7 linked regions of the Coturnix japonica genome follow. The protein of the gene in region 7 interacts with the protein of the main gene of each other region in a biochemical or structural test. Links are inferred from orthologs where the notes say so. Each region holds a gene or a part of one and is shown on either strand. Other genes may lie near its edges.

What was found.
Region 1: the proteins of TBP (region 7) and BTAF1 form a complex in vitro, tested with the Homo sapiens proteins (2 studies listed by BioGRID). The link is inferred for Coturnix japonica from reciprocal best matches to the Homo sapiens genes TBP and BTAF1.
Region 2: the proteins of TBP (region 7) and E2F1 form a complex in vitro, tested with the Homo sapiens proteins (2 studies listed by BioGRID). The link is inferred for Coturnix japonica from reciprocal best matches to the Homo sapiens genes TBP and E2F1.
Region 3: the proteins of TBP (region 7) and BRF1 form a complex in vitro, tested with the Homo sapiens proteins (2 studies listed by BioGRID). The link is inferred for Coturnix japonica from reciprocal best matches to the Homo sapiens genes TBP and BRF1.
Region 4: the proteins of TBP (region 7) and GTF2A1 form a complex in vitro, tested with the Homo sapiens proteins (7 studies listed by BioGRID and IntAct, with this or other methods). The link is inferred for Coturnix japonica from reciprocal best matches to the Homo sapiens genes TBP and GTF2A1.
Region 5: the proteins of TBP (region 7) and GTF2E1 form a complex in vitro, tested with the Homo sapiens proteins (3 studies listed by BioGRID). The link is inferred for Coturnix japonica from reciprocal best matches to the Homo sapiens genes TBP and GTF2E1.
Region 6: the proteins of TBP (region 7) and AHR form a complex in vitro, tested with the Homo sapiens proteins (2 studies listed by BioGRID). The link is inferred for Coturnix japonica from reciprocal best matches to the Homo sapiens genes TBP and AHR.

Annotation. Positions count from the first base shown.
Region 1 is NC_029521.1:18,219,657-18,223,742, forward strand, and holds part of BTAF1 (TATA-binding protein-associated factor 172), read right to left. Parts: intron 3,515-4,086; coding exon 3,391-3,514; intron 2,314-3,390; coding exon 2,199-2,313; intron 104-2,198; coding exon 1-103. UniProt on the Homo sapiens protein: Regulates transcription in association with TATA binding protein (TBP). Removes TBP from the TATA box in an ATP-dependent manner.
Region 2 is NC_029535.1:1,932,945-1,937,825, forward strand, and holds the start of E2F1 (transcription factor E2F1), read left to right. Parts: upstream 1-1,737; 5' UTR 1,738-1,752; coding exon 1,753-1,944; intron 1,945-2,212; coding exon 2,213-2,303; intron 2,304-2,564; coding exon 2,565-2,784; intron 2,785-2,925; coding exon 2,926-3,078; intron 3,079-3,225; coding exon 3,226-3,340; intron 3,341-3,426; coding exon 3,427-3,619; intron 3,620-4,189; coding exon 4,190-4,437; 3' UTR 4,438-4,881. UniProt on the Homo sapiens protein: Transcription activator that binds DNA cooperatively with DP proteins through the E2 recognition site, 5'-TTTC[CG]CGC-3' found in the promoter region of a number of genes whose products are involved in cell cycle regulation or in DNA replication.
Region 3 is NC_029520.1:47,935,651-47,939,736, forward strand, and holds part of BRF1 (transcription factor IIIB 90 kDa subunit), read right to left. Parts: intron 2,396-4,086; coding exon 2,139-2,395; intron 1-2,138.
Region 4 is NC_029520.1:37,063,259-37,067,344, reverse strand, and holds part of GTF2A1 (transcription initiation factor IIA subunit 1), read left to right. Parts: intron 1-2,200; coding exon 2,201-2,334; intron 2,335-3,156; coding exon 3,157-3,477; intron 3,478-4,086. UniProt on the Homo sapiens protein: TFIIA is a component of the transcription machinery of RNA polymerase II and plays an important role in transcriptional activation. TFIIA in a complex with TBP mediates transcriptional activity.
Region 5 is NC_029516.1:71,484,885-71,488,970, forward strand, and holds part of GTF2E1 (general transcription factor IIE subunit 1), read right to left. Parts: intron 930-4,086; 5' UTR 897-929; coding exon 449-896; intron 1-448.
Region 6 is NC_029517.1:26,403,499-26,407,584, reverse strand, and holds part of AHR (aryl hydrocarbon receptor), read right to left. Parts: intron 840-4,086; coding exon 652-839; intron 1-651. UniProt on the Homo sapiens protein: Ligand-activated transcription factor that enables cells to adapt to changing conditions by sensing compounds from the environment, diet, microbiome and cellular metabolism, and which plays important roles in development, immunity and cancer.
Region 7 is NC_029518.1:36,563,970-36,568,580, reverse strand, and holds the start of TBP (TATA-box-binding protein), read left to right. Parts: upstream 1-1,307; 5' UTR 1,308-1,417; intron 1,418-3,192; 5' UTR 3,193-3,381; coding exon 3,382-3,435; intron 3,436-4,478; coding exon 4,479-4,611. UniProt on the Homo sapiens protein: The TFIID basal transcription factor complex plays a major role in the initiation of RNA polymerase II (Pol II)-dependent transcription.

The sequences.
Region 1 (4,086 bases), on a different chromosome or scaffold from region 7:
AGGAGAGATGCACCATGTTTTAACAAGCGACATATATCAAATCTGTCAAAACGCAACCGATCTGTTGAAGGTGAATCTTCCATAGGACTTTCTGATCCCGGTTCTAAGCAAACATTGAAAATAACATTAAGGAAAACATGAAGATTGTTCTCAAAATCCTGGCAGAAGATAACGGTCAGAGAGAAAGACATAATTTCACTCTGCAGAGGAATCATCAGGCATACAGTATTTTCATTCACAAAACAAAGACTCCATTTCATAAAAAACAAATCTTACTGTTTGTTTCTCCCTTGGTAAGTTTAGCTTTTTTAAATCTTGATCAATGGCAGACACAAAATCTTCCATGCACACATAAGGCCACCGTCAATTCGAGCTGCACATGGCTCACACATAGTTCAGACCTAAGTACCATGCCAGCTCTGCCTCACATAACCAACAGCCAGGCATCTCTGATAAGAGGCCAGGAAAGCAGACAAACTGCAAATACTGTCCAGTTCAACAACAATAAGATGGTTGATCCTCACAAGGCTTCTTATCATTTCCTGGTCATGAATTCACTTCCAAAGTATTCCCTTGCCTCAATATTTCAGTACTCGTGTGTTTCATGGCTTTCAGTCATGCATAGTGTCCATTCATACATAGTCTGCTGTGCTCACATCCTGAATTGAACCAGCACTACAAATACCACTATTGCCTACAAGAAACACAGCTTTTATTTTCATAATTTGTCTCATGCTTACTTATGAAAGTTTGTTCATTTACAGTAGAATAAATCTGATTGCATATTGAGCACCATACAAAATGAGTAATACCTACATTTCTTCAGACCTGAAGAGGGAGATAACATTTCATTATACATATACATGGCAGAGTCTATAAATAAAGCTACTCAATATACAGATATATCAGGAAAGAGTCAGCATAGCTCCTGAAAAAAACCTCTCATTAACATGATTATCAACATCCTTAAAGAGCTCTAACATGCAGATAGAGGAGATCTATTAAGAAATTCAAAACTGCTTGACAAGTTTTCATACTGAAAGTTGAAGGAACTAGGCTCCTACAGAACTGGATGAAGCCTCCTTTTACATACTGAAAGCTAGTTAAAGAAAGGTTAAAGCTGAATGTTGGAACCAATTTGTGTGTCTTTGACAACAGGACCGAGATTTCATTATGCACTACTCTCCCATCATGTATGTGACATTAAGCAGTTCTGGGTAACCAAATGTCACAGTAGTACTATGAAATCCTAGAAGGACTCTTAAGAACAACAAGATGGCAGATAAAGTGCAACACTGAGAACTTAAGCTGTGTCTATACGGCACTGATGTGAGAACTGGTAGTTAACAGTGAATGAAGATTTTGAAGGCACTTCAGTTAGATTTCTGTAATTACCAGCTTATGAGGCAGCAACAGAACAGCCAGAACAGCCAACTGGGCACTCAGCTTCATCAGGAAGGACACTAAAAACATGATGAAGCACATCATTCTGCCACTACATATAAATACCAGTAGTCTAAAGAAGCAAATATACTATGGGCAGGTATGTGCATCTCAAGGAGAACACAAGTGAGAAAAAGCACCGAAAAGAACCAATAAAGCTGTCCAAAAGATAGAGCAGCTGTCTTTTGAGGAGAACCTGAGGAGGAGGCAACATTTCAAGGTGAAAAGGAATATGTTGAATGGGTGCAAATATAGCAAACATTTATAAAAATAACAAAGGCAGCGAATAAAGCTTAGCAGTAATGGAACAAGGAGGCGCTGAATGCAACTAGTGTGAGAGCACCTCAAAGCAGATATGAATTCTGTTACAACAAAAGCAACATCACAACAACTCCAGATACAAAATGAGCACAGATGGCAGCAAGCTGCCACGTCACCTCTCAGAAAGGTTTTTTCAGAAACTGCAAAATATGACAAAATCGACCTGTTAAAAGTTTCCCTGTTTCACCAGTTATTATTCCTCTTAATCATACAGAGTCAAGCATTTTGAGGGTACAGAGCAGAAGCAAAGGTCATGCACAGTGTTGTAAGTGAATACGAACATCTCGAGCTAAAGAGGTTACCACAGTCCATGAACATAAAACAAAAAAGCAGGTTCATTTTAAACAGCACAGCTGCCTTAAGACTTTTCATATCACAGTCAGTTTGCATCAGATAAACAACGTACTATTCTACATAATTCATTTAAGAAGCACCTTGCTTTAATCTCGGAGTTGGATTCCATTCAGGTACATTTTTCACTATTGCTTCAACAGCCTGGCCAGCTGCAATACGGGTGTCCCAATTTGTACTTCTTAAGTACACTAACACCTTTAAAGAGAAATTAACAAATAAATTAAATTTTGTTAAAAAGAACCATACTTTTAGAGCATCTATCAGTTATTACAGTCTGTTTAACACTTTTACTGCTGTGGATCAAGACAAGATTCAAAAAGAATTAAAACAAAGGACAAAAAACAAACAAACCAAAAAACCACCAAGCAAACCATAAGCGACCTTTGCTGCTTAGCAGAACCCATGGCATAGCCAGGCCTTAAGAACTTGCAGGTTACATTTAGTTGATCAGCCAAAGTTAACAATGCTTTATACAATGTAGATTTCACTTTATACAATGTACCTCCAGGTACCAAACAAGGCTTGAATTTTTTTTTTCTTTCTAAAACTGTTCCAAAAAGAACAACAGGCTTCAAAATTTTACCCAAGAAGGCCAAAATGGATCACTAGCAACAACTTATGCTCCTCTAAACTGATTTCCCTTCATGCCTCAAATCTGGAAGAAGTATTCTTTCACTGGAAGTGGTTTGATATTCATGATTCCCTGACCGTTCTTGGTGGCATCATAAATTGTGGTGAGAGCACCTGTTCGATAAAAGCAGAACTGAGGCCGTGCAGCCATCTCCAGCTGTCAGGTACAAAACTATTTTTGGTGTTTTTACTGGACTTGGCCAGACTACAGTCTCAAACTAATGGAAACCTGTTTCCATTTTCCAGCCTATGTAAAGACATGCAGCTTCCTATAATTTCAATCCTGTACCACACAAGCAACACTCTTTTAAAAGCGGCAGTGAAACATTTAAAAGGCAGTAGAGATCTGGATTTTCTGTAGAAGAAAATCTGAACTTACAGCAAACACTGAATACCAACACTGTGTGCAAAGTGAAACCTGACTTATGCAACCCTCACAGAAGCTACCAAAACAGCACGCCTTTAAAGACCCAGACTCTTAATTTTCTTCTTTTTTCAGAGAGCTCCACAAAAATGCTGTATTTTCAGCTGCCTCTATCCACAGAAACTACAGCCCAGAAGAGTCATTCTATTCTATTTCAGTCCTGACAGCAGTATCAGAAAACAAAAAAACAGAAAGACAAAAAGCCCTAAGATGCTTACTTTAGATAAGAGATTGTTCAGTTCATGAGGGTGCAGTTTCACTACTTCCCCGAGTTGCTGTGCAGCTGCTTTTCTTGTTACTGGTGTTGTACCGGTGTCCAGTAAAATAAAGAGACGATCAAGCCTGAATGATTGACAAAAAATGAAACCGTTACACTATTCATAGCACAGTTGACCATTTCTATTTATATTCCCCCAGATTTTCCAGTTTATCAAACGCAAATAGAAATGTTTGCCTGCCAACTGACAGACTGACAAATGTACTTATGCCTAATTCTAACTGTACTTGCTCCAAAAGCATATGTAGCCTGGTAGGAAAAAAATAAATAAGGGAGGAACTTTTAGAAACTTTAGCTCTAAAAAGTCCACAAGTTACAAGAAGAAAATGAAATAGGTTCCTTCTTCTGACACAGAACACTTTTAATTTTGCAGGACTGGTATTGTTAGGTTGTAAGCAATCTTCTGCAATTTCTGTCAGACAGAGAAAGCGAAGGCTCCATCATTCACACTGTGAATTATCATTTATTTTGAATACTGACATCTATAGTCATACTCTGCTTTTTCAGGACACCAGAAATTTTTAATTTTCACCTATTTTCCCTCTATTACCTGGAACACACAAGATCTAACCTGTTCTTGTATTTACAGCTTCAAAATACTCTGATACCTCCGGCCCTCCCATGAAATATGGGAACC
Region 2 (4,881 bases), on a different chromosome or scaffold from region 7:
TCCCAGCAGGAACCCAGGGGCAGTGCTGTGATCAAACCCTCCCTGAGGTCAGAGCAGGGATGGTTTGAGTCCAGATTTGCATCCTCCCAGCTCCCCTGTGTGCTCCCACCACCAGCAGATGACCGTGCGTGGCCTTAGAGACCCACAGGCTGTCCATAATCATGCCCACAAAGGGATAACGTTGGCCAAGCCTGCAGCTTGCAGAGCCCTCTGACCCCCCCCAGCCCAGCAGGAGATGCAGTGCAGCACTGGCAGCTATCAGGGCTCAGCACCCATTGGCAGCTTATCACCACCCGCAGCTGTGCCAGGTGGGATTCATCCGCGGGTGGGGAAAAGCCCCCTTTCCCCCCTCAGCATTTGTCGCAGTGACTGTTTTGCCTTTCATTTGTCTTTGCATCTGCCCTTTTCAAGTGCCACAAGAGCTGAAAGCCTCGGCGAATTGGCACGGGGGAGGTTGGGGGGGGGAGCCCGCTCCCCCTGCATAAACTGCCGTATGAATGAGGGAGGGGGGAATAAAACAAACCCGTGCTGCCCCCAGCTGCCCCGGCCTTTGTGAGCGCGGTGGGAGCAGCTGGTGCCGCAGCTGCCGCTCACAGCCCGCGGCCCCGGAACGGCCCCGCAGCCGGGGCGGGTGGGACCGTGTGTCCGGGCGGGGCGGCACCAACGGGCCGCATCTGGCGTGTAACTGCTGCTCGTACCACTCGCTAACGGGGATATCGCCGTGACCGGGGTGCGGGTTATCGCAAGGGCCGAGCGTTAATTAACAGCGCTCACCGCCGCCAAGCGGAGCGGTGCTGCCGTTCGGTGCTGTGCTGCAGGGCTGGGCCGTGGGCTCCGCAGCCACAGGAAGAACGAGCAGCAAAACACCGCTCAGCGTTCACTACATCCCCGCTGTGAGGCACCGCCCGCACCCAGCGCTAACCCGGCCGTCCCGCTGAGCCCCGCTGCGGCCGCAGCTCCAACTCCGGCCCCGCAGTACCGAGATGGGGGGGTGTTTATGTCCCTGTGGGTTGGGCTCCGTTGGAGGCACATTGAGGTTATCAGCGCCCCGCACACGGGATACAGACGGCGGGAGCCGCCCACGCCACGTCCCGCGGCTTTGACTATGGGCTGCCCTGCCCTGCACCGCCCGCACCGCCACGGACACGCAGCTCAGCCCCGCAGCCCGCACAGCGTCACGGGCAGCTCTAGCCCAGCAGTGCAGGGAGCGCCCGGCGCTCAGACCCGTCTGTGAGTGACCCCACGCGGGACCAGCTCCGCGCCGCCCTCGGCCCCTTTAAGGCCCGGCCGCGCTCCTCACCCACGCGGCGCCACGGCCGCGTCCCCGAGACGCCTCCCGATTGGCTCCTGCCTCAGCTCGGCGGTTCTGATTGGCCGCCTGTCAGCGCGTCCGCCGCCGCCGCCCTTAACCAATGGGCGGCCGGCACCGCCCCTCCCTCCGGCGACCTCGACCAATCAGACGGTTTCCCCGCACCCCCGCCTCAGCGCTCGGCGTTGGGCGCAGCCAATGGGCGGGCGCGGGGAGGTTGGCGCCGCTTTCGCGGCAAAAAGGATTTGGCGCGCAAAGGCGCGCGGGGCCGGAGCGCGGGACAGCCCGGCACAGCCCGGCACGGCCCGGCACGGCCCGGTACAACCCGGAACGGCCCGGAACGACCTGGGGAACGGCCCCGCGGATCGGCCCCGCGCCCGGCAATGGGCCGCGCCCCCGCCCCGGCCGCGGCCCCGCGCCCCGCGCCGCCCGTCACCTGAGCCATGGCTACGGCGGGCGGCGCGGCGGGGCTGGCGGCGCTGCTGGGCGGCTCCTCCCCGCACCTCCTCATCGTCTCGGCCTCCGAGGAGCCCGCGGGCGGCTGCCGCCCCGACGCCGACCTCCTGCTCTTCGCCACGCCGCAGCCCTCCCAGCCCGGCCCCGCGCCGCGCCGCCCCACGCTGGGCCGCCCGCCGGTAACCGCGGGACGGGGGAGGGAGCGGGGCTGAGCGGGGCTGAGCGGGCCGCCGGGCGGGGCCGGGACGTCGCGGTGCCCACGCGGGACCCCCCCCCCCCCCCCCGTCAGAGCCCGGCCGCGCGGGGCACCGCCGCTCCGGAAGCCGCCGCCGAGGCCGCCTTCCGCCCGGCAGCGCCGTTGCGCGGGGCTGCCCCCACAGGCCGGGGCCCGGCCCTGCCGCCGCGGTGCGTTCCGCGTCCCCGCGCTGAGGACGCCCTGTCCCGCAGGTGAAGCGGAAGCTGAACTTGGAGACGGATCACCAGTACATCGCCGACAGCCTGCCCGCCGCCCGCGGCAGGGCCCGCATCCCCGGCAGAGGTACGGCCCCGCTGTGCTGCCGGCCTGAGCCCTTCGGGATGGGCCTCGTCACCTCCCTCTTCCCCTCTGCCACCTGCCGTCCCCGTAGAGCGCTGGGCCCTGCCCGGCTGCTCGCTGTCAGGGCTCAGTCTCGGGGCCCTGCAGCACCATCCCCCGAGCTTCCCATTGCCAGCAGCTGCCGGGTGCTGCTCACCTGCCGGGTGTGGCGGTGCTGGGGCTGCCCCGCGCCCCACGGCTGAATCTTGCACCTGTCCCCAACAGGGGCAAAGTCTCCTGGGGAGAAATCCCGCTATGAAACCTCACTGAACCTCACCACCAAGCGCTTCCTGGAGCTGCTCAGCCAATCCCCCGATGGTGTGGTGGATCTCAACTGGGCGGCCGAGGTGCTGAAGGTGCAGAAGAGGCGCATCTACGACATCACCAATGTCCTGGAGGGCATCCAGCTCATCCGCAAGAAGTCCAAGAACCACATCCAGTGGATGTATGTCCATCAGGGTGGGGGGATAACACCGAAGCTGCCAGGGTTGGGTGGAGGGAGGGAGGTTGGGTTCCACCCTGAGATCGGGAGGTGATGGCAGCAGTGGGGTGTTAGTGCTGGGGGTGACAGCCCTGTGTACCCCAGGGGCAGCCAGGTGGCCGCGGGGGCTTCAAGCCGACAGCAGCTGCTGGAGAAGGAGCTGCGGGATCTGCAGGCGGCAGAACGGCAGCTGGACGAGCTCATCCAGACGTGCACGGTGCAGCTGCGGCTGCTCACCGAGGATCCCTCCAACCAGCAATATCCTTCGGTGCGGGGCCGGGATGGGGCTGGATGGGCTGGAGAGCTGTTGGGGAATGGAGCCCCCCCCTGCTCTGACACTTATGGTCACTGTGTGGGGTTTTGGGTGTGAATGTGGCCCCGTGTCTGCTCCTTGACCCGCCGCACCGCAGCCTACGTCACCTGCCAGGACCTTCGGAGCATTGTGGACCCCTCTGAGCAAATGGTGATGGTTATCAAGGCACCCCCAGAGACCCAGCTGCAAGTCTCAGACCCGGCAGAGGTGAGTGAGGGGTCTCTCCTCCCCATGGATCTTCACAGCCCTCGGTACAACTCCACCTTGGCACTCCATGTCCCTCCTGTCCCCAGGCTTTCCAGGTCTCAGTGAAAAGCACTCAGGGCCCCATCGACGTGTTCCTCTGCCCCGAGGACAGCTCAGGGGTCTGCAGCCCCGTCAAGAGCCCCTTCAAGGCACCTGCTGAGGAGCTGTCCCCTGGCTCATCGCAGCAGAGAGCCTCCCCGCTCCTGCATCCTGCTCAGGATGTCAACATGCTGCTGCCTGGTGAGCAAGGTGGGGATGGGGATGGGAATGGGATGGGAATGGGATGGGAAGGGATGGGATGGGATGGGATGGGATGGGATGGGATGGGATGGGATGGGATGGGATGGGATGGGAATGGAATGGAATGGGGGCACTGCCTGGGCTCTGTGGTGTGGGGACAGTGTTATCACTGTTGTTCCAGTTCCAGGAGCACGAGGTTACAGGGCTGAGGTCTTGGCTGTGTGTTAGGAGGAGCCTGACCTCCATGCTCATGCAGTGCCAAGTAGTTGGACTCAATGATCCTTATGAGCGAGTCCTTTTTAAATTGGGGTATTCTGTGATCCACCCAGCTGTGGGCTCTGCTCCTACCCAAGCTTGGCAGAGACAGCCCTGGATCTTTCTGCTTAGGAAAGGACACTGTCCCTCTTTGTCCCACCACTCAGCAAGTGGTCTGAGTCACGCTGCCCAGTTGGCCTGGATGTTTCTGATCACTCCTGATGCTTTGTGTGCCATCTGCATGGCCTCAGTAGCTTAGAACACAGCAGTTCTGGTGTGTGCTGTGGGGCTGACAGCCTCGCTCTGTCCCCACAGAAGCACTGCTACCAGGCACAGCACTGCCCTCCAAGTGCTCCACAGAGGATGTGAGCCTGTCACCGCTGGCCTCCATGGACACCCTTCTGGAGCAGGCCAAGGACGATTTCTCGGGCTTCCTGGCGGATGAGTTCATTGCCCTGTCACCACCACAGGCACAGGATTACCACTTCGGCCTGGAGGAGGGTGAGGGCATCAGTGAACTCTTTGACTGTGACTTTGGGGACTTCACGCACTTGGACTTCTGAGGCTCTTGTCCTGATTTCAGAAGCTATCCCACTGCCAAGGGGGGGGACGCAGGCAGGGCTGAGGACAGCCACGTGGTGCCCTGTGCCTTGGTGTGGCTCTGGTGCCTTCCTGGGGTCCCTGTGCTGCAGCAGCCCTGGGCCCCCTCCATCCGTCCCCTCTGCAATATTTTCTTCCCTCCTATCCGGCATCTCTGTGCCATGATGGGACAGAGCCCAGCTTGGTGCTTGAGCCCACATTGGGGCCTACTCCTGTCCCAAGAGGAGGATGCTGGGGAGCAAGGGGTCCCCATTGGGTGCCCCCCCACCCACTGCGGGCAGCCATAGGGTGCCCGTGGCAGAGCTTTAAGCAGTCCTGTGTATAGATTGGATTAATTTATTATTGTTCCTTGGGGACAGCGTTTAGTTTCCCAGGAGGGGTCAAGGGGGGGTGGGGGATGTGGTGGT
Region 3 (4,086 bases), on a different chromosome or scaffold from region 7:
ATGTCATAAATCTTTTAACAGTAAGAAATAAAAAACAAATGGTTTGCCAAGTCCTTGATATTATTTAATCAGGAATGCTGCCTACTTCTGGAGTGCAAAATCTTAACCACGTATCTGCATGTATCACCAACCTTCTCTCAAGTGCTCTGCTGCAAAATTCATTGTATCTAAGATCTGCTAATCATCATCAGGAAACTGTTATGCATCTTAAGGACGTACTTTAGGCACTCAAGTGGAAAAATAAACACATTTTATTAGCTGCTTTTGGAAAATACTGATTTGTGTATTTATTTAGAGACCTTTTCAAGTTGCACCACTGTTAAATCAAATATTTATGGCATGATTTTCCAAAGAGTTTAACACCTGTTAAGGGTTTAACTTGCTGGCTTCAACAGGAGCTCCAAGTGCCCAGTGCTGCAGAAAGGCAGACCTCAAAGGGACATGGATGGATGTGCTGAAGCATCTCAGGTGCTCATATTACTGCTAAGTCCTGAAAAGCAATGGGTCCCTCACAAGCCCATACTGCCCATCACAGCATTCCATTCTTGCTAACTGTATCAGAGCTGTGCTTCACTAAAAATTGCAGAAATATGACTCACTATGCCTGTTAAATACAAAAAAACCCATAAGCCAATGCTGTGAGATAATCCTGAATCCATCTTCACTTTCCTTCTATTAGAAAATATGTGTATTTAGGTCATTAAACATGACCTGAAGTAGCAACTTACATAGGAAACTAAAATCCTCACTGAATGAATTGGAAAGCTGTTGGTGTTAGAGAGGTGAGGAGCTGAATGAGGATGAAGCCATTTTGATAAAACACAGAATAAAGAAGGAAGAGCAGAAAAACAAAAGACATTTGTTACATTGCAAAAATCTGTATCCCAGTGACAGTGAAGGTAGACACAATTCTGGCTGAGAAGTTAAAAGCATTGGCCAAAGCCAATGTAATTGCCCAAGTGCAAACCAGTTCATAGTAATAGGTTTGTGTATGGCCATGTCCATACCAGCCCACCCAGCTTTACCTCCACAGGTTTGCTACATCCTCACTCCTTTTGCCAATAGATGAATTCTCACACCTTCTGGTTGCCTTTTTCTCCCCAGAGCTGCTTTATTTAGGAAGGGAAAATATCATATCTGAAGCACCTCCAGCTGCAGCTCCTTCCTCATTCTCACTTCTGACAGCCCTGAGCCCCCTCCCATGAGCTCTGCCCACTCCAGTGCTGCTGCAAGCAGTGCCATCACCAACCCCAGCTCTCCTCTGCTCCCTCCATCCACCCCCTGCCCTTCACTCTCCAAACAACAGTATGAAGACACCATCTAGCATTTCTATATTAAATGTCTGGATTTCCTGGTGGTGTATGGCCTTGGAAGCAAAAAACATCTTTTAGGCAGTAAATTAATATCTAGCAACTAAATAAGAAACCACTATAGAGAGAGATCATCCAAATGATCATCCGACATGATTTCATGAACTGCAGGCTAATAAAACAGTTGAATATTGCAGATAGGACACATCCATCTCCTTCTACACATTACAGCACACCACAAATCTGCCCAGCAAGTCTGAATATTTTGCACATTAAAATAGTAGCTTTCATCACACTATAAAACATTTGCAAATGCAGACCAGAAAACCGACAAGCATATTTACTGTAAAGCTTTATATTTGTGTCACCAATTAACAACAAAAGTTTGGAACAAAACTAAAATAAAAGCTAATCAAAACAGCTTAGCTGTCATAACAGATGGGAACTGTATTTTTCAAATGAAGCAAAAAGCCAAAGCTTTCGAGCATTTAGTGTCATGTCAGCAGATACAGACAACCCAGAAAGGGAGGACACCAAATGTCAGGGATATATGAAGAAAAGCTGTTCGTGGCCCAAAGATTGATGTTTATGAATTTCCATTGATTTTTTTTTTTCTTCTCCTCCAGAATGATTAACTCACACTAAAACAGACCTTTGATACGAGAACTATAAATAAGTTTCCACTGTGACACTGCAGGCAAAATAAATAAAAACAAGAGCCCAGCATTATTTTAGCCTCAGACAAATGTTTCAGTACCTACATTGTCTGGCTCAGAAAGATACATAGACAGTCTCACAGACAGAGATAGAAATGAACAATTGCGGTACCTTTTTCCCACACTGTTTACAGGGCTGGCTATATTCCTACTGGCAATAGATTTTCTTCTTGACAGCTTCTTGGTGTTGGTGCTGTCATCAGTGCTGTCATCCTCTTTCTTTGGTGTGTTACTTCCTTTGCTGTTCAGGTCCCTTAGCACATTATAATTAATTTTACTTGAGATTTTCTTCTGTTCTAACATCTTTTCAATTGCCTCTCCTGCTGTGCTGGCTTGAATTGGCTCCCGCTTCTTTGCAGCTTTCTTTGGCTTAATTAAAATATAAAATTAGTGATGTAGAGACAAACAAAATGGTTGTGTAGCAGAAGGGGGACCTGTAGCTCAGCAGTCCCTGCACAGGTGTTGGCGACTCGGGGACAGGATAGGCGATGGGGCAGAGCCAGGTCAGCACTCTATGGCCTGGGGGAGGACTAAGGCTAAGAAACTTCTTTTTCTACAAGAATTCAGTGTAGGCTTTCCCATTTTTGCCAAATGCCCACGCAGTTTATTACAAATTCTTGACTGCACATTTGTACCGCTGCCAGAAAAGCAACGTGGGCCATTTCTCACATGTGAAAAAAAAAAATGGAGAGAGCTCCCGTTACAGGAACAGGGACCTTGATAACATCACCCAGCATGCAAATAAATTCCTCTGTTAAAACTACCTTCCAAGTGAGAGTCAAGCTGGGGCACTCCCCTAGGCACTGACAGCAGCATTTTGTATGAAGCCTGAAAGCTGCACATCCAACTCTTCCTCAGAATGGAAAGAAGTGGAGAAAATTAGCAATTAGCAGCAGCTTTCTAAGCAATAATGGTGTTGGGGAGGAAGCAGGATGCTGCAGCAACATCACCTGCCCACAGAGAGAGACAACCTCCCTCGGCCAAGCACTGCAAGCCCAGTGCTAACACTATGCAGCAGTTTGATGCTGCACAGACCCAGACAAAGAGAAATGACACCAGGGAACACTTCTGTCTGGGACCAATGCCTAGCTAGGAACACACAAAAAAAGTCTTCTGTTTCTCATTCAACCTTTTCCTTTTCAAAGGAAGTTTTTAACACCAAGCTCCGCAGGAGATTTATTTTTTAATGTATAATAGCCCCTCTGTTTACCTACATGGGTCAAGTGCTACCTTGAAATTGGAAAGCACTATATTAATCAAGTTCTACTCGAGCTGTCAGAAACAATACAGCTCGAGAAAAACTCCTGTGTTGTCAGAACAAAAAGGTGGGTTGTTTGGGCTGCTTCTCAGTGCCAGAGAGTTATAGAGTTCTGAAAATTGCTGGTAGAATTCCACGGCCCTGGAAGGGCGGCATGAATGAGGGACTCTGAAGCATAAAACAGTGTTTCATTGTCTGGTTTTGTTTTTGCTATTGAAATACCTAGGGGAAGTGGGAAACTCTGTCTTTCACATTAGGCAGAAAAGAAAGATACAAGATACACACATTAAAAACGAACATGGATTTTAGTTGCATGTGGAAGATTTGACTTGTCACTTGCTCAATTACAAAAAACACTAATGCTGTAAATTGTGAATATACGGCCAATTAGGTTGCTTTAAGCTGCTAAACATGGAGACAGGACGTGCCATTTGTTAACATATCCATTGCCTTCTTTATGAAAGGTAGGACTAAATACTTCTTTAAGTGGCTATAACAAAGACCTCTTCAGCTGTTCATAAAGAAATCATTATAGTAAGAGCAGAGGAAGCTGCTTAAGGTAGGGCAAGTACAAACAAATTCCCCATGCACGCGTTAAAAAAGTCAGGCATGTCCTAAGAACTGTATTTAAATAAGTAAGCAATTAGGATTGCAATCCTATATGCAAGAACTAGCTCTGTTTTTGCATGCACTGATTTTTTTCCTAATGGTAGCTCAGAATAGACATTTGGGCAAGAAAGTGTTTAACTTTCAGTTTAACAGTTTAACTTAACTGAGAGAAGTTATAGCATTCTATTCATGT
Region 4 (4,086 bases), on a different chromosome or scaffold from region 7:
CTCAGAATCATCTGGAACTTAACCTTCCCGCTGTATGCATCTGAATGTGTAGTGGATACACAGTTGAAACAAAATTGGAATGTGTATCTGTTCTAGAAATTTAAGATCTTCTAATTTCTAAGGAAGAACATCTGTGCTTTAAGAAGACTATTATATTGTTTCTTATGTTATGCTTACTGTTTTCTTTTTCAGTTGCAAATATTTGTAGTATGTTTTCTTTAAGAACAGGGTATGGTAGTCTGCAGAACTGTATTTTCTTCCTTCTTTCAGATTTACTTACCTGTTAGAGTAAAGAGAGCATTCTAGTTTGCACTGAAAGGAGAACAGAAAATAAAATCAATCTTTAGGGAGATGTGTAAAGTTGAGGGTTGTCTAATTTCATTTCTTCTCCTTTATTTGAATAGAAATATAAAGAGTGTATTGGATTATATCTTAGCTCCCCCTTCTCGGAGTGGAAACAAGCTGTAAAGGCAGCTGTAAACATGAGCCTTCAACGTATTTTGTGAAGAATAGGTGTCAAATAATAGAACTATAGGATAATTAAAGAAATAGACATCAGAATGTAGGCATTGTGGAAAAAGGAAGGAGAAACATAATATAAGAACAAACTGGACAGACTCTTCAGAAAGGCAACTAGACATTAAATTCATATAGACAGTTACATACAGAGGGATTTCCTACAATGTGATTATCAAAGGGACAGAAGTCCCACAAGGGAGATGCTATCTGGCTAGGCCTCAGAAATACCACAGCATTGGATAAAACTTTAGTGATGTGGCTACCTGTGCTTCTTGTATTTGTATATACTCATGTGGATGTTGTGTACTTTGACTTCAGCAAGGCTTTTAATGCTCTCTCTTGTAACATCCTCTTAGATAAGCTTTGGAAGTGGGGGACAGACAGGTGCCCAGTGAGGTGGATTGAGAACTGGCTGACTGGCAGAGCTCCGAGGCTTGTCATTGACATAGGGTCTATTTGGAACCCTGTAGCTTGCAGTGTTTCCCAGAGGTCAGACCTGGATTAAGGGATAGAGTGCACCCTCAGCAGGTTTGCTGATAATACAAAGCTGGGAGTAGTGGCTTACATACCAGAAGGCTGTGCTGCCATTCACTGAAACCTGGGCAGGCTGAGGAATTGGGTGGAAAGGAATATTAGGAGGTTCAAGTGCAGAGTCCCACACCTGGGGAGGAATAACAACACATACCAGTAAAGGGTAAGGGGCTGGCTATCTGGAAATTATCTCTGCTGAGAGGAATCTGGGTGTCCTGGTGCAGATTGTTGACCATTAGCCAGCAGATATCGATAGTATCTTGGGGTGCAATAAAAAGAGTGTGGCCAGCTGCTCATGGGGGAGTGTTCTTCCCCCTCTGCTCCATCATGTTGAAGCCAAATGTAGAGTATTGTGTTCAGTCCTTGGGCTTTTCAGTTCAAGAAAGACGGGGAACTTGTGTGGAGAGTCCAGCAGAGAGCCACAGAGATGATGAGGGGCCTTTAGCATCTCCCATATGAGGAAAGGCTGAGTAACCTGGACTTGTTCAGCCTGGAGAAGAGAAGACTGAGAGGGGAATCTTATCGATTCTTACAGGTATCTAATGGGTAGGAATGAAGTGGATTATGCCAGACTCTTTTCAGCAATGCTGAACAAAAGAAAAGAGTTGATGAACATCAATGGGAATACAGTTCCACCTGAATATGAGAAAATCATTGTTTTATTTGAGGGTGGCATAGCACTGGAACAAGCTGCCCAGAGAGGCTGTGGAGTCTCCTTCTCTGCAGATATTCAAAACCTGCCTGGACACTTTCTTGTGCAACCTCCTTTAGCAGAGAGGGTTGCACTAGATGATCTCCAGAAGTGCTTTCCAACCTGTACAGTTCTGTGATTCATTTGTACTCTGCCTGTACAATTTATCTTAGGAACACACCTCGTGTTTTATAAGTAGGAATTAATGTTCGAAATACTGTCTTGCTTTAAAGGTTTAATCTTGGGTTGCATAATTAACAATGATAAATAGCAAACAGCCATATAAATGGTTCCTTTCTGGCACAGCTGCTATGGCATGGTATCTTTTCATGGATGAAAACAGAATACAGTGCTCTTTAATTGTTACAGTTGTTCTTTCAGGAAACAGCTTTCTAAACTAAGCTAATTTTAAATGGTGATATCTGTTCTTTGATTAATTTGGTTTTTATCTTACTACAGGCCAGATCCTCCAAGTAGTTAGAACTGCAAATGGAGCTCAATATATCATTCAGCCACAGCAGCCAGTTGTTCTACAGCAGCAGGTCATACCACAAATGCAGCCTGGTGGCGTACAAGCACCTGTTATACAGCAGGTAAAGAAAAGAAATTAATAGGTACACTTGAAAGTAAAAACCTGAGAGTAGTTATTAAATGGGCTTGCATTTTTTTATTGTCAGATTTAAACAGTATACAAAGACAGAAGTAGTATATTTAGAAAAGGATTGTGTTAAGAATGTTTTCAAGGATGAAATGTTTTGGAATATTGTTTCAAATGTTTTTATTCTTGTAAGATTCAGACTAGTATTGGTTTAAAATTGCTGTTGTGTGGGTCCAATGACAATTATATTATGTGCACAATTTTAGTCAGTATCCTTTCACAAAAGTATTGATCGGTTAAATGACTTTGTGTTGCAGCATATGTAGAGGAAAATGCCTTTAAAAAAACCCAAGCAAGTAATCAAAAACCCAAAGCATATAAACAATCTGCACCAAACCTGGACATTTCATTACTGAATACAGTATGTTGTTTTGCCAGGATTTTTTTTCAGTTACAAGCTCAACTGTGCGTCCAGGTTGTGTAGGCATTGAATTTATTGTTGTGTCACAGTTCTGCAGCTTAAACCTGAATAACAGTCTGTAGCAAATTTCAGGTTAAAGTATTCTGTAAAGAAATTTTAAAAATAATCTCCTATTTGAGTTTAAACGCTACTCTACTGTGCTTGGAATTTGAGAGCAGAAAAACACCAAGTAATTAGAGAAGCTTTGTTATTGAAGATTTAATTACCTGTCTGATGTAGATGGAGTATTAGTAACTTCTTTCTCTAATTAGTCCGAGTCAGATTGATATGCTTAATTGTCTTCTGTAAGTGCTGTGGTAGTCTGGTGTGTTACCAAGCACTATACTATTCCATCAGGTTTTGGCTCCAATTCCTGGAGGGATTCCCCAGCAGACAGGAGTGATTATTCAGCCTCAGCAGATCCTGTTTACAGGAAATAAAACTCAAGTTATACCTACAACAGTGGCTGCCCCTACAACAGCTCAAGCACAGATTCCTGCAGCTGGTCAGCAGCAGCCACAGCAACAACAGGCACAACCACAAGCACCACTTGTTCTCCAAGTTGATGGAGCAGGAGACACATCATCTGAAGAAGAAGAAGATGAGGAAGAAGACTATGATGATGATGAAGAGGAGGACAAAGAAAAAGATGGAGGTGAAGATGGCCAGGTCGAAGAGGTAAAATTAACATCATTGCAGAATGCCTGTATTTCATTTTTAATTTTTTCCCTACAGTACTTAAAGGAAAACTGTAATTCTCCAAGAATGTTACCTTCCCATAATCTCGAATATGTCAGTGCTATCTGTGTACTGTAGTTTCTTTATATCCCATACTGACGTGGTGGAAACTGTTATTATCAAAGCACCTTGAAATGCAGCTGGTGTGGCAGGGGATAACAAAAAAAAAAAAAGTTAATTACGATGAGTGCCTTTTTAAAGACTTCAGCAGTATTATTTCTGGTAGTAAGGAATGGTCAGCCCTGATATCATGAATCCTTCATAAGCAAATGGAAATAATCAGCTCCATTTGGGACAGAGTGCTTTCCAAAGCCAGGTGGTAGGAGGGATGACACAAGGTGGGTGTCAAACACTGAGAGAACAAATAGATGTAGTGGTTTGTCATTTTACTCACTGTTAGATTGCCTTATGTTATACTAGAAGGGGCCTGAGAATTAAATTTGATTATAAAGCATTTTTAAAAGCACAAAAAAGACAAATTTTTGTAGAAGCATTCTCACCATACTGCATGGAATGTAGCGTGTCAGACTTCTGTATTGACAAACACTA
Region 5 (4,086 bases), on a different chromosome or scaffold from region 7:
CACAGACAAGTCTGTAATTAATTCCTTTTAACTTTTGTGAGAATGTTTTACACTAGGGAAACTAGGTCATGCAGTATAATGAAATGGCTAGAAGAAAATTAAACAGTAATAGTTTACTCCCTGCACACCCATATCTACATGATAAATTTTCTGCATATAAAACTCAGCAATTTATACGTCCTCATTGCAAACAAGAAGTCATGCAGTTTAATGGCAAGATCAGGTCATATCAAAAGCCACCAAAAAGGACAGACTGCCTTTTTCATTCTTGAATTTGATTGGGATGAGACCTCCATTTCTCCGCTTCTTATCACTCAAGTATATCGATCTACAAGCATTTTACCACAATTACTACTTGCCTGTATTGATAACATAAGAACTACCCTATCCATTACCAAAACTACCACCTTTCTTTAACACCCAGCACTGCTACCCATACCACTCTTACCTGCCCTGGGGTCAAACAGCTGTTTGGCCTCCAAGTCTGTGAAAGTACTGAAGCAAATGGGGCATTTAAAGGAGGCTCGATTGGTGGAGTCTCTCTCATCTGTCTCGATCCTCCTCCGCATGTGATCCAGCTTGTACTTCACCACATTCACCAGCAGGCGGTAGTTGATGAAGTAGTAGTTATGACGGGTGGTTTTACCATCTGCAGCCGTCTCTACCCTCATTCTGCATTTGATGAACTTGTCACCCTTGAGGGTGTTGAGGACAGACCGCAGCTGCTTCCTATCAAATTTAAGGAGCTCTAACATGTCCTCTTCCTTCACACAGGGGTTTCGGATGAGAATGTCCAGGGCCAAAGCGTGTTCAATGCCATAGAAACCACGCACAACATACTTGGCAAGGCGCTTGAGAGCTGCAGGGACCTCAGTGAGGACGTCTGGGTCAGTCATAGCAGCTTCAGATCTTGACCTTCATGTACACTGGAACAAAACAAAACAAAGGATATTTAACTTCTAAAGTCAGAAATCTTACTTTTCATGCATCTTTCCTACAGCTAGGAAAAGGATGTGGCATTTTCCCTCCTTAAATGTTAATGATGTCAGTGCAACAATCATAGAATTAGGAAGTGATACCTCAAGCTCATAACAAAATGGTGGAAAGCAGAAGCACACAAATTGCTACCTTAACGTTCAGCCAGTTGCAGTTCTACTCAGAGCTGGAATAAGAAAGCTGCCTTGAATGTGAGCTCCAGCAGACAGCTTCCTCAGTGATGAAACTTAGCTTGGTAGAAGCAGAAGAAAGCTACCAGACAGGCCTTAAGACAGCCCTCAAAAGTGGATGTAACAAGTGGCAGTAACAAAGGGAAGCAACTCTTCATATGGCACAGGACAAAGGTTTACTATCATTTCACAAGGTTTTGCATGTTTTTCCTCCACTATTTCAAGCCTATCTCTAGTCTATAAAAGAATTTCCCTCCACTCAATGCATGTATACATGGAAGGTTCATGAGTATTATACATACTTAGGAAACACGCGAGGGTTTGTACTTCCAATTAACATCCAATAAACCTTTGGCTGGTCTATCTCAATAAGAGCCTTTATTCTGCGTTAGGGTATGAATAACCATTTCTCAAGCAAAATGTTCCTCCAAGTCAAACAAAACAAAACAAACAAACAAAAATACCACATCTGCAGTTTGTTCTTCATTGCTCAGTAATTTTTATCTGTGAGCTAATGTCAAATATAGTTAAATTCTGCCCATCTCACTCAGAGATTGTTAGATTTTTCCCACACTGAGCACGTACCTCCCCAGCACTCAAGTTTTAAATAGAGAAAAGTGGGGAAAAAACAGCAGAAGGAGGGATCTGGATGGGTGTCTTGTTTTTTTCCCATCGTTATCATAAAACCCATAATATCCTTTTTAACAAGCAGTATTTTTACAGTACTTCTCTGTACTCCCCACACTAATACACCCCCTGAAATGATCAAGCTCTATATGTTTACCCCCAGCTGATGACTCACTTCCATCAGGTGAGACTGCTCAATGATTTGTTATCACTTAGCACAGTAACCCACTTGGATTTTATCTTTCATACAGAAAATGCTTCCCCCTCAAAAACCTCAAACACCGTTACTCATTGAAGCTTTACTTCTCTTTAACCTTCCTCTGCAGCTGAGGTTCATTCCTCTTAAGGGTTACAGCCAGCACAACTACAAAGCAAATCTGCCTTGCACTGTGGGTTTGTTGGTTTTGTCTCCTGAATACAAAAGACATTCTTATTCTTTTCTTTTAAAACACTTCCCTGCCTCAGCTATCTCTTCCTCTGTCTTAAGGCCAAATATTATTCGCGGTGCCCAAATTGAAAGGAACCGAACAAAATCTGTTGTCTGTTTGTTGGCAGGCAGAAGTGCTTACAGAAAACAGTGCCTGGATGTCCAGCTCCAACTTCCCTTCAAGGAGATTTAATTATGTTTATCCCAGCATGAATTAGCCATGAAGCGAGTACTTCTCAAGTCAGCCTTCTGCACGCCTCATGCATAATGGCTGCAGCCTCACAAAGGGCATTTGCAATGGAGCTTTACGTTAAACTGGGTAAAGATAAAAAGCATTAGCAATAAAGGATGGCTCAGTATGAATTAACCACAACAGCACTGAAAACTTATGCATAAAGAAGCCAGAGTCTACGTGAATACAGTTACAGGACATTGTTCCTGAAAATCTCTTTCATTCTGTTCCTATTTTCAACAACTTTACAATCCCTTAGAGCTAAACCTTGGTTTCGACTGAATCCGTCAGCAACATTTAGACACCATAAAGCTGTGTCAATGCAGAATCCAGCCAGGAGCTTTATTTATTCAAGCTGAATAACTCTACTTACTCAGAGTTTAGGCACAGTGTAGCACTAGTAAGACTGACCTGAAGTCATACCTGGCAACACAGAAGTAATTTAAAAAGACAAACTTTGGAAGTCGAGACATTTCTAATCGTTGATCCCAGAAACAAACAAACGAATCTCTATGAATGTTGAGATTCTAAGCAAGCACATCTCACTGTGGATATCATAGTATCATCATAGTATCATAGTCTCGTGCGGGTTGGAAGGGATCTTAGAGATCATCGATGGCACTTGAGAGCTGATGGAAAGCATTTTCTCTGCACCAATCTCATTGATTAGACAGCTGCAGAATCCTGCAGACATTTTCCAAACAAACCTAAGGCACAATTTCCTGAATTATGCCTTATAAGCTTATATTCAGACCTACAAGGCACTAATAAAAACAACCCTTCTGTAAGAGTACAGGCTTTTAACTACTGCTGAGAACCATGGGAGAGATTTAATCAATTATCTTAGTGTTGTGTGGGAAGATTCAAACCTCTCCATCAAGCAGCACCAGGAGTTACTGGAGCTCGTAGTCACATCCAGATCCCCTTTATCCTCACACTATAGCAGGCATATCTTGCATGTAACACTGGTTTTCTTCCAGGCACAGATACATGGAAATACAAGCATTCTGAAAACACCACATACCACTCTTTCCTATCAAACTTCCCTTCGAGAAGCTGAGCCTTTGGATGATAAAAAACAAGACTAGTGTCAGCTTTAAGGAAAAAAATAAAGAAAGCCAAAGAGCATCCTAGTCAAGAACAGAATCTAGCATGGTTTCTCTAGGAGAAGCTGACATCTTGCCACCCAACCACAAACAGACCCAGGCTGCAACACGAGCCCAACTCCTTGCTATCTCTCATTAGCCAGGACAGGATCCACCTCACAATTGGTAACCCAATACCACAAGAATATCATTTGAAAAAAGGATTTTACCATTGAGTTCTTAAGCAGTGACTTTACCTCCCATTGAAGCACTGAAGTCAAATTACATGGACAAAGAAATACGATAACATCTCCTAACAAGGTTTTAATGGACGTGCATCTGTTTCATAATAACATCTGTAACATCCTTAATGTATGAACTTCAACTTCACCATTAACTTTCCCTGTTCACTTTCTGTCTTTCTTGTACCCACGTTTGAAGTTTTACAGAGTCCTTCACCTTTAAATGTGACTAAGTACGACATGCTTTTAAAAGCCCCTATGCACCATGTCTCCATCCAGCGGTCACCTGCAAACTTCAAATCTAGCT
Region 6 (4,086 bases), on a different chromosome or scaffold from region 7:
TGCTACCTCTGAGGCAGTACAGGAGGACATGTACTTCTGTCCTGATTACTGCCCTGAGCATTGCTGCACTACCCTTTCCAGAGCTGTGGTCAGTAGACATTGCCCACACAACTGGAGAACCTTAACTGTCATCTTGATGCCTCCATCAGAGCTTGAACACAGGCAAGACTTTGCCACTTTCTTCAGAAGTCATCTCCAAAATAAACGATGGGAAGAGGCATTAGCTGTTATTGCGTATTATATGAAATCCTTTTGATGCACCATTAAGCAAAACATACAGCTGATTGGAACTCATATGATATTTACTCAACTGTAATGGCTTTATAAGGGCTATTTTCAAGGGGGTAAATAATAAATCTCAGCTTATCATTTCTGAAAGTTTAAGAAAAAGGACTGGAAGACTCATTAAGGGCAATATTGCTTCCAAATGCAAACCTTCAAAAGACTGATGAAATTTAAGGACTTCTGTTTGTTTTTCAAGCAACTAGAAAGCCTACTTTATACAAATATACTGTATATATCCATACAATTGTACGTTCCACTAAAATACAGAAAAGTTAATGATTTTGAGTACTTCAGTAGTGAACACAACCTGCAGTACAAGCGGCATTACACAGGCAGTCCTAAACCAAAAACATTCCCAACTCTTACCATCAAAAAAACTCTTGGCTCGCAAGTAACTGACGCTGAGCCTAAGCACAGACAACTTATCCAATTTGGCGATAACATCTTGAGGGAAAGGCAGAAGGCTTGCCAAGCGATCCAATTCCGCATTCAAACGGTCCCTGTGCCTCTTGGATGGATTGGATTTGACTCCTTCAGCTGGAGATGGCTTTACTCTGTGGCAAAACAAACAAACAAACAAAAAATAAACAGAAGTTCCTTCCCAATATGAAGGCAAATATTTGTCTTGCATTACAAACAACTTTCAAATTTTAACATGCAAAATGTTTTTCCTAAGTGACTTCTGTTCCACATGGAAAAAATGTAAAATTCATCTCAGATCATTTTGCTTTTCTTCCCAACATACTCACTGTTAAACAAATCAATAAGACCTACCATGGCTATCTGAACACATAACGGATGTTTGCAAACTTAGATATAGCATTTGTAAAAACCTTCTTATGCTTCCACTCAGATGCCTTGATTTCTTTCAAATTATGAATTTGAACTTATTAATATTAGTGTACAAATTATTTGACAGCACTGTCAGGTTTTTACTTGAGTTAAAAATTTTAACAAACATCTTTAATTCTTCATCAAGGTTTGGAACAGGTTATTGTAAATCAGATATAATAAAATGTTTAGTAACTTGCTAGGGGCACTCAAAATCTCACAAGAGGAAACACAGCTCTGACAGCATGTAAAATTTTCCTTGCTAATACCACTAAACCCATTCTGTAAAGTAACTCTTGGCTAATGGCGTTTCACTTGAGTATGATACAACAAAGGAATGCCTCTATACGTTACAAGCTACAATTTAAAAGCTTTCTGTTCTGAATTATGTGGTAAATTTTGCAAACTTGCTGTATTCCTGGGCTCCCAGATACCTGAATACTCATCCCTACCATACACAGTTACTACAGATCTGTTAAAATTTGGGTTGTTTTCACAGGGGTGATAGCTCTGCAAGGTGCATCATTTCCGAAATGTTATCCAGGCAAGATAGTCACTTGTATATGATTAACCCAACTTAAATATAACTCTAACAAAATAAATAAACCTCAAGATCATCAAATAGGACCAGTAACATCTAAAGATACCTCAAATATTGGTGTTCATAGCACAGCATTCATTGTGAGCACAGAACAACAAATGATAAACTTTAAGCAAATAAAAGCTGTATAACTGTCACTGAACAGTTCATTATTACCAAATCAAAGCATGTTTCCAAAAAGCAGAGGTCCCCATGAAAACAGCTCATGACATGCCAATTACAGCAGCACTGAATACCAGGCTTCTCTCTTATCACACCTGTCCTCCCTTTTGCTCAAAACTTCTATCAGCGATTTGACAAGCTATGCTGAAACTACATGGAACCGGGCAATTACCTTGACAAATTACTCATTAGATCTAATTGTTTTTGAATTACTTTCACCTAAGTTTTTACTTCCGAGTAGTCCAATGCATAAGGATTCCCCAAATGCAGCACAGAACACTTCCAAACATAAAGTTGGCAGTATTTTCAGCACAGATTCTATTATCTTCTCTCCTTTAAACCAAACACTGTTTGTCCCTAATTTTATTCACTATAACCCAACAAAAATCTGTGATTTCAATGGAACTGCCTGTGACAAAAGAAATAGGGATGGAAACAAAGGGGAAATAAGTAATAACTTGAACCATTTTCCATTCACTTCCATACACTGTTGATGCTCAGGGATGCCCTAGTTGCACTGCAGAAAATTATCTTCAATTATAATTAAATGCTACGTCAAGATTATTTTTATTACTTAAAAAGGGGAAAAGGGGGGGAAATAAAACACAAAACAAACAGTAAAGAAGAAAACAGGTTTTAATCTGACCTTCTGGGCATCATCTTTTACCTTACTTACAGGAAACTCAAATTCTCCAATCAATCAAAGGCCAAAGATTGACACACATTCAGTATCTCTCAAGTAAACAACAATCCTTGTCATCCAATAGCTGCACAACAAGCAAGGACTTCTAATTCTAGTTTTACTACCCTGAAGGCCATTCTACCACAACATTAGCTGACTATTTTCAGAGATCTGCCACAGACAATAGAAACTTCAATTGCACATGCTTACTATGTGTGCCCTCACTGGTATTAATAACACTACATTTACAAAAAAGAAAAAGCACACCGATATCTGGATTCTATTATTAAAAGGCCCAAATAAGTTTCATTATTTATAGGCTAATTTGTATTTTTAAAGGGAAATTGAAGCAGTTCCTTGAGAAAATGAAATGCAACACAGATTTATTTTCTTCCTAACATACAAGAAAACCTAAAATATAAGAAACTGCTAAAATAGGAGGAGTTTGTCAGAATGGCTTTATTGCTTAGGGAAAAAAAGGGGATAAGGAAGAACATGCAGGGAACCTCAATGACTCATTTAATCTTTTCAGCTGTGTGTATTTTCATTTCATCTTCAATACAGCATATGCTAATATGTTATTCTTATGTCTATTATTCAGTTAAGAATGGGTCAGGTATATGAAACTCATCAGTTAACACTGAGCAAGTGCTCTGTAGGTGATACTTTCCAAAATTCTCTATTTACTTTAACAACTGAAAGACTCCTATGAATACTTTTATCTGCCACACTGAATTCACCATTAAGGAACATTCAGCTGCTGATTCCTTTGAAAGCAACAGATTCAATGCAGACTAACAATCCCTTTGCTCAAAAGCTTTGTCAACCTATCTTGGAAGGGCAAGAGGCACTTTCCAGTGATTCCTTCAGCAGTTTTAGGCAGCAAAGGAATAAAGATGTTTTCACTAAAAATCTCATGTGCTATTCATCTGATGCTGGGCAACTGTTTGTCCTCCAGAAGCAGTCTGTTGCTCAGGTTTGCTTAGTGTCCAAAAGACTCTGACAGAACGATGGGGACAGCCAGAACACTAGGCAAAAGCAAACTCTTTACACTCAGTTTTAACATCCTTCAATACTCCCTAAGATCACAAGCCAGGACTATCCAGAAAAAACAAAAAAGCATGTTCCTAGCTACAATGGTCAGAGCATCTACATTTAATTATCTCTATATGCTGCAGCTAGTTGTTGTTGCTTTGGTGGTTTTGTTTTTATTTAATGTTAGAATGTATCTTTGTACATGTAACAGTGTAACATTGTAATGTTAGAAGTATCTTTGCACTGCTTTCTGAAATCACTATGCCTTAATATATACTCTTAATTAAGGATCAACCAGCCAAATGTTTTTCTCTGGAATATTTAGTATCATGAATACATTTATGCTAACATGGAACAAAAGTGTATCATTTCTTATTTAGTCTGCTTTTTCAAGAAACATGCTGTTACGCTTTGTGTGCCTGCACAGTATGAAACATTTAGATCCCCCCCACCCCATTCCATGTCTATTACATTCATTCCGTTATGCAAA
Region 7 (4,611 bases):
TGCTTTAGCTTCAATGAGGTTAAAACACCAGCACACATTTATAAGTTTAAACACTCAAAACCACTTCAATTGAGATTGCCTCAATTTCTGTCACCCGAATTACCCAAAGCCATCCTGGGCTTCTACACCTAATTGTACTAAAGCAATCTTCCACTGGACAGTAACAGAGAATCAAAGATACTACACAGAGTTACAGGCTCATTCTTCCATTTCAGTCCTTACAAGGTGCAGACTTACAGTTTGTAGCATTTGGGGCTGTCCCGGCTGTGAATTGCATAACCTTCACTCAGCCGTGTGTCGGAGGCAAACAATGCTGAAAGTCTTCCCCAGCGATCGCCAGCACAGTCCTTAAAGAAGAGCATTCATATAATTCACACAATTGGCACAACTTAGTTCTTAGGCAAGCGATGAACAGCCAGAAGAATAACAGAATGACCCGGGTTGGAAGGGACCTCAAGGATCATGTAGTTCCAACCCCCCTGCCTGGCAGGGCCACCAAACATACACATTTACTACATCAGAGTTGCCCAGGCCCGTCCCAACCGGGTCTTTGGAACACCTCCAAGGACGGGGCATCCACAACCTCCCTGGGCAGCCTGTTCCAGGGCCTAACCACTCTCCTAGTGAAGACAGAAGGCAAAACGACAACGAGCAAGACGCAGCCCAGCTCACCTCCCCCCGGCCCATCCCTGCCCGCGGCTCTCACCCGCCGTTGAAGGTGTATGGCGAGAAGCGGTACTGCACAGGTCCGCCCAGCCCATATCCCGGCTCCGGCCTCAGCTCGGCGTATCGCGCTGCGGACAGCATCCCTACGGCACCAGCCCTGCTGTCTCACGGCAAAATGGCGGCACCGGAAGCGAGGAGGCGGCGCTCTACGAGGCACAGGCACCTCGTCTCGTCTGCTCTGGAGGTACCACGCCCCATCGGCGGTGACCACCCGGCCGCATGGAGCCGTGCCAGCCTTCGGGCGGCAGGGCCGGCAAGCACAGCAGGCTCTCGCCATGAGCACACCAGCACACCGTGTGCCCCGGTGGTGCAGTAGTAGCAATGCCGCTTTGCAACACCGCAGGCCCTGGGTTCGAATCCCCCCTGTGGCGCGTGTGGTAGAAGTGCCGCTCTGCTACACAGAGGCTCGAATCCCGGGGGTTGGACTCGATGATCTCTAAGGTCCCTTCCAACCCGCACCACACTGTGACACTGTGAGCACGGCACCACACGCTGTGCCACGAGGTGCGAGTAAAGCCAACACCCCGCAGACAACAGCCCGCAGGCCCCGCCCTCACTCAAGATGGCGGTAAGAGGGGCGGGGCGGATTCGTGGCGGAAGTGACGCAATCGAGGCGCGCCGGCGGCGCGGTCTCGGGGCGCAGCCTGTGTCCCGCAGTTGCGGTGCTGGTTGTGGCGGCGCCGCGCGGCAGGTACCGGCCGTTCCGTGTCCCGCTCCGCCCCGCAGCCCACACGGCGCGGGCTGTGCCGCTTATGGCGGGGGGGGTGGCCGGGCCGAGCCCGCTTCTTACTCCCCGTGGGCGCCGCCGTAGGGTCGGGGTCCTGCGGGCGGGCCCGAGCGGCGGGGAGGGGGGGAGGGAGAGAAGGGATGTGCGGGGTGAGCGGGCCGCGGGCCGAGCGGAGCGACGGGAGCGATCCCGGTACGGCCGTTGGTGCCGGGGGCGTGATGGCGGCGGGACGCGGTCACCGCCTCCCACACGTGACGGCGGGCGGGGAACGCGGCGGCGGCGGCGGCCTTGGGTTCGGTACGGGAGCCGTGATCGGCCCTTGCCCTGCACGTGGGCCTGGTACCGGGGCTCGGCGGCTGGGTTCGGTGTATGTGGAGTCCGCGCGGCGTGTTGGGCCTGAGGATGGGCTGCCCGTGATGCTGGGTAACGGCTGGGCCCCTTCTTTGCACGGTGTGCAACGTGGAAACGCCTTTGGGTAAAACAGCGGGTGGTTAATGTGATACTGAGTGCCTTAAGGACGAGAGAAAGATGGGCAGGCTTTCTTCAAATGTTTCAGTGCTGTGCCTTAAAATGGCTTAGGAGCTCTCTGTGTAAGTGTGCAGTTAAGCTATAAATGAATAGGAAAAATATCTGATAAAAAGGCTTAGCATTTCATAATATAGCTATGCAGAGAAGGAGCTGGGTGTTTGCAGACAGCAGGTTGGCCATGAGTGTGCCCCGGTGGCCCAGAGGGCCAATGGGATCCTGGGGTGCATCAAAAAGAGCATGGCCGGCAGGTTGAGGGAGGTGATCTCCCCCTCTGCCCTGCCCTGCTGAGGCTCCATCTGGAGCACTGCGTCCAGTTCTGGGCTCCCCAGTTCAAGGCAGAACAAGGAGTAGTGGACACAAACTGCAGCATGGGAAGCTCCGTACAAATAGAGGAAGACAGAGCTGCCCAGAGAGGCTGTGGAGTCCCCTTCACAGTAGGTACTCAAAACTTACCCAGCCACTCTCCTGCTGTAGGGATCCTGCTTTAGCAGAGGATTGGGCTCAGTGATCTCTGGAGGTCACTTCCAGCCCTTACAGCGCCATGAAAGCATTTCAGTTCTCTATTTGTATTGTTTCTTTCCATTGCGTGCCAATAGAGGTACAGGTCTTTGTTTAAAAGGCAAAAAACAAACAGTAAGTGAAACAACACCCAGAAGAATACTTTCGTTTCATGCATATACCTGGAATTGGCTTTTAGTTTCCCTTTTTCCCCTCGTGAAGTACGTCATTGCAATTCAAAATACATTAGTGCTTTGCTTTATGGAAGTAGATGGGAGGAGGTTTCCTAAACCTGAGTTTACCAGCAGTATTTTCATATAGCAAAATCAAAAAACAACTTTGGAAGGCCAAGCCTTAACTCTGCCCAGGGGGAGATGTGTGAGCGAAGCGTGGCTTTAGGCTCGTCTGTCAGTAGCTGGTGGAATTCAGTTCTGAAAGTCAATGCTTTCCCATCTGAAGCGATGCATGCAGGACTGGAGCTGTGTGTGAAGGAGGCCTTCGTTGTGGAGGCGGCTGCTCACGTGCAGTGGATGTTCACCAGGGGCACTAGGGCTGTAGAAAGAGATTGCTTTATATAAGGTGCATGGGTGTGTGCGTGCGTATGAGTGTTCTCGCATATATTTGTATGTGGGCATTTCTTATCTAACAGACCAGCTGATAAGCCTGCTTTTGTTTAAATGTTATTCTCAAGATATTACTTCTTTTCTTTTCAGGCCCTGTTTAGTGTTTTAGACTCGCAACGTGTTTTCTCTGGAGCTGATGTTTTCCTGACACGTTTTCAGCTTGGCTAAAAAGCTGCTTTGCTGGAATGCTTTAGAGGGTCAAAAACCCTTTTTGGTTTTAAATTAATTTCAATTAATTGAAGGAAATATTTCTGGCCTCACCAAAGAATAACCGGAATCATGGATCAGAACAACAGCTTGCCACCCTACGCTCAAGGCTTAGCCTCCCCTCAGGTAAAAAGGGATGATGTGATATGCAAAAGCGGTCTGAATTTCTTTGTGGGAGTGTTTTCTGTGTCTTGTATGTTATTTCTTTGTGTCTTTTTTTGTTTGTGTGTTTGCAGATCTGAAAAATTCTACTGTATATAACTTACTCAGTAAAAAGCAGAGATGAAAAACCATTTATATATAGATAGATAGATAGATATGGGTATATATAGATATATATCCAGAGGTTTAAGAAATACACTGATATATTTATGGTTTTCATGAAGCTGAAACATTACTGGCATGTTGAAAATAAGAAGGTTCAGGGGAGACCTCATTGCAGCCTTCCAGCACTTGAAGGGAACTTGCAAGCAGGAGGAGGGGGGCTGACTTTTTAACATGGTCTAATAGCAGTAGGACAACGGGGAATGGCTTTAAACTAAAAGAGGGAAATTTAGGTTAGATGTTAGGAGGAAATTCTTTATTCAGAGAGTGGTCAGGCACAGAGAAGCCTGTGAAGCTTCTCTTGGCCAGAGAAGCTGTGGATGCCCCATCCCTGGAGGCATTCAAGGCCAGGTTGGATGGGGCCCTGAGCTGGTGGGTGGCAGCCCTGCCTATGGCAGAGGGTGGGACTGGATGGACTTTCCCTTCCAACTCAAGTCATTGTATCATTTTAACTTTGTTCATTGCTTTTGGAATCCTTTAAATTGGCTTATATGTAATGGACTACAGTTGTGCTGTGAATGCATTTGCATTCTAATGATTGCAAGTAGGAATTGTGGGTCAAAGTTGAGACGCACTTTCCAGGTATTGTAGGAAACGTACCAGCGTCGCTGACTGGTGCTGAGAAGTGTTGGAATTGACAGATCGATTGAGGTTGTGATTCATGTTGTGTAAGAACTGAATCTTCCAAAGGTTTTCTGTTTTTAGCAAGTTAGTAATATACCGTGGGCTTGATGTGACCAGCTAAGATGATTTATTCTTAGACTCCTACTACTTCAAGCTTCTTCTCTTTAAAACAATGTTAAGTCAAAGCGTCTGTGGTTTCTTTTTCATGTTTTCTTCTGCAGGGTGCAATGACTCCTGGAATTCCAATTTTTAGCCCAATGATGCCCTATGGCACGGGACTGACACCGCAGCCTGTCCAGAGCACCAACAGTCTGTCTATCCTTGAGGAACAGCAGCGGCAGCAGCAGCAGCAGC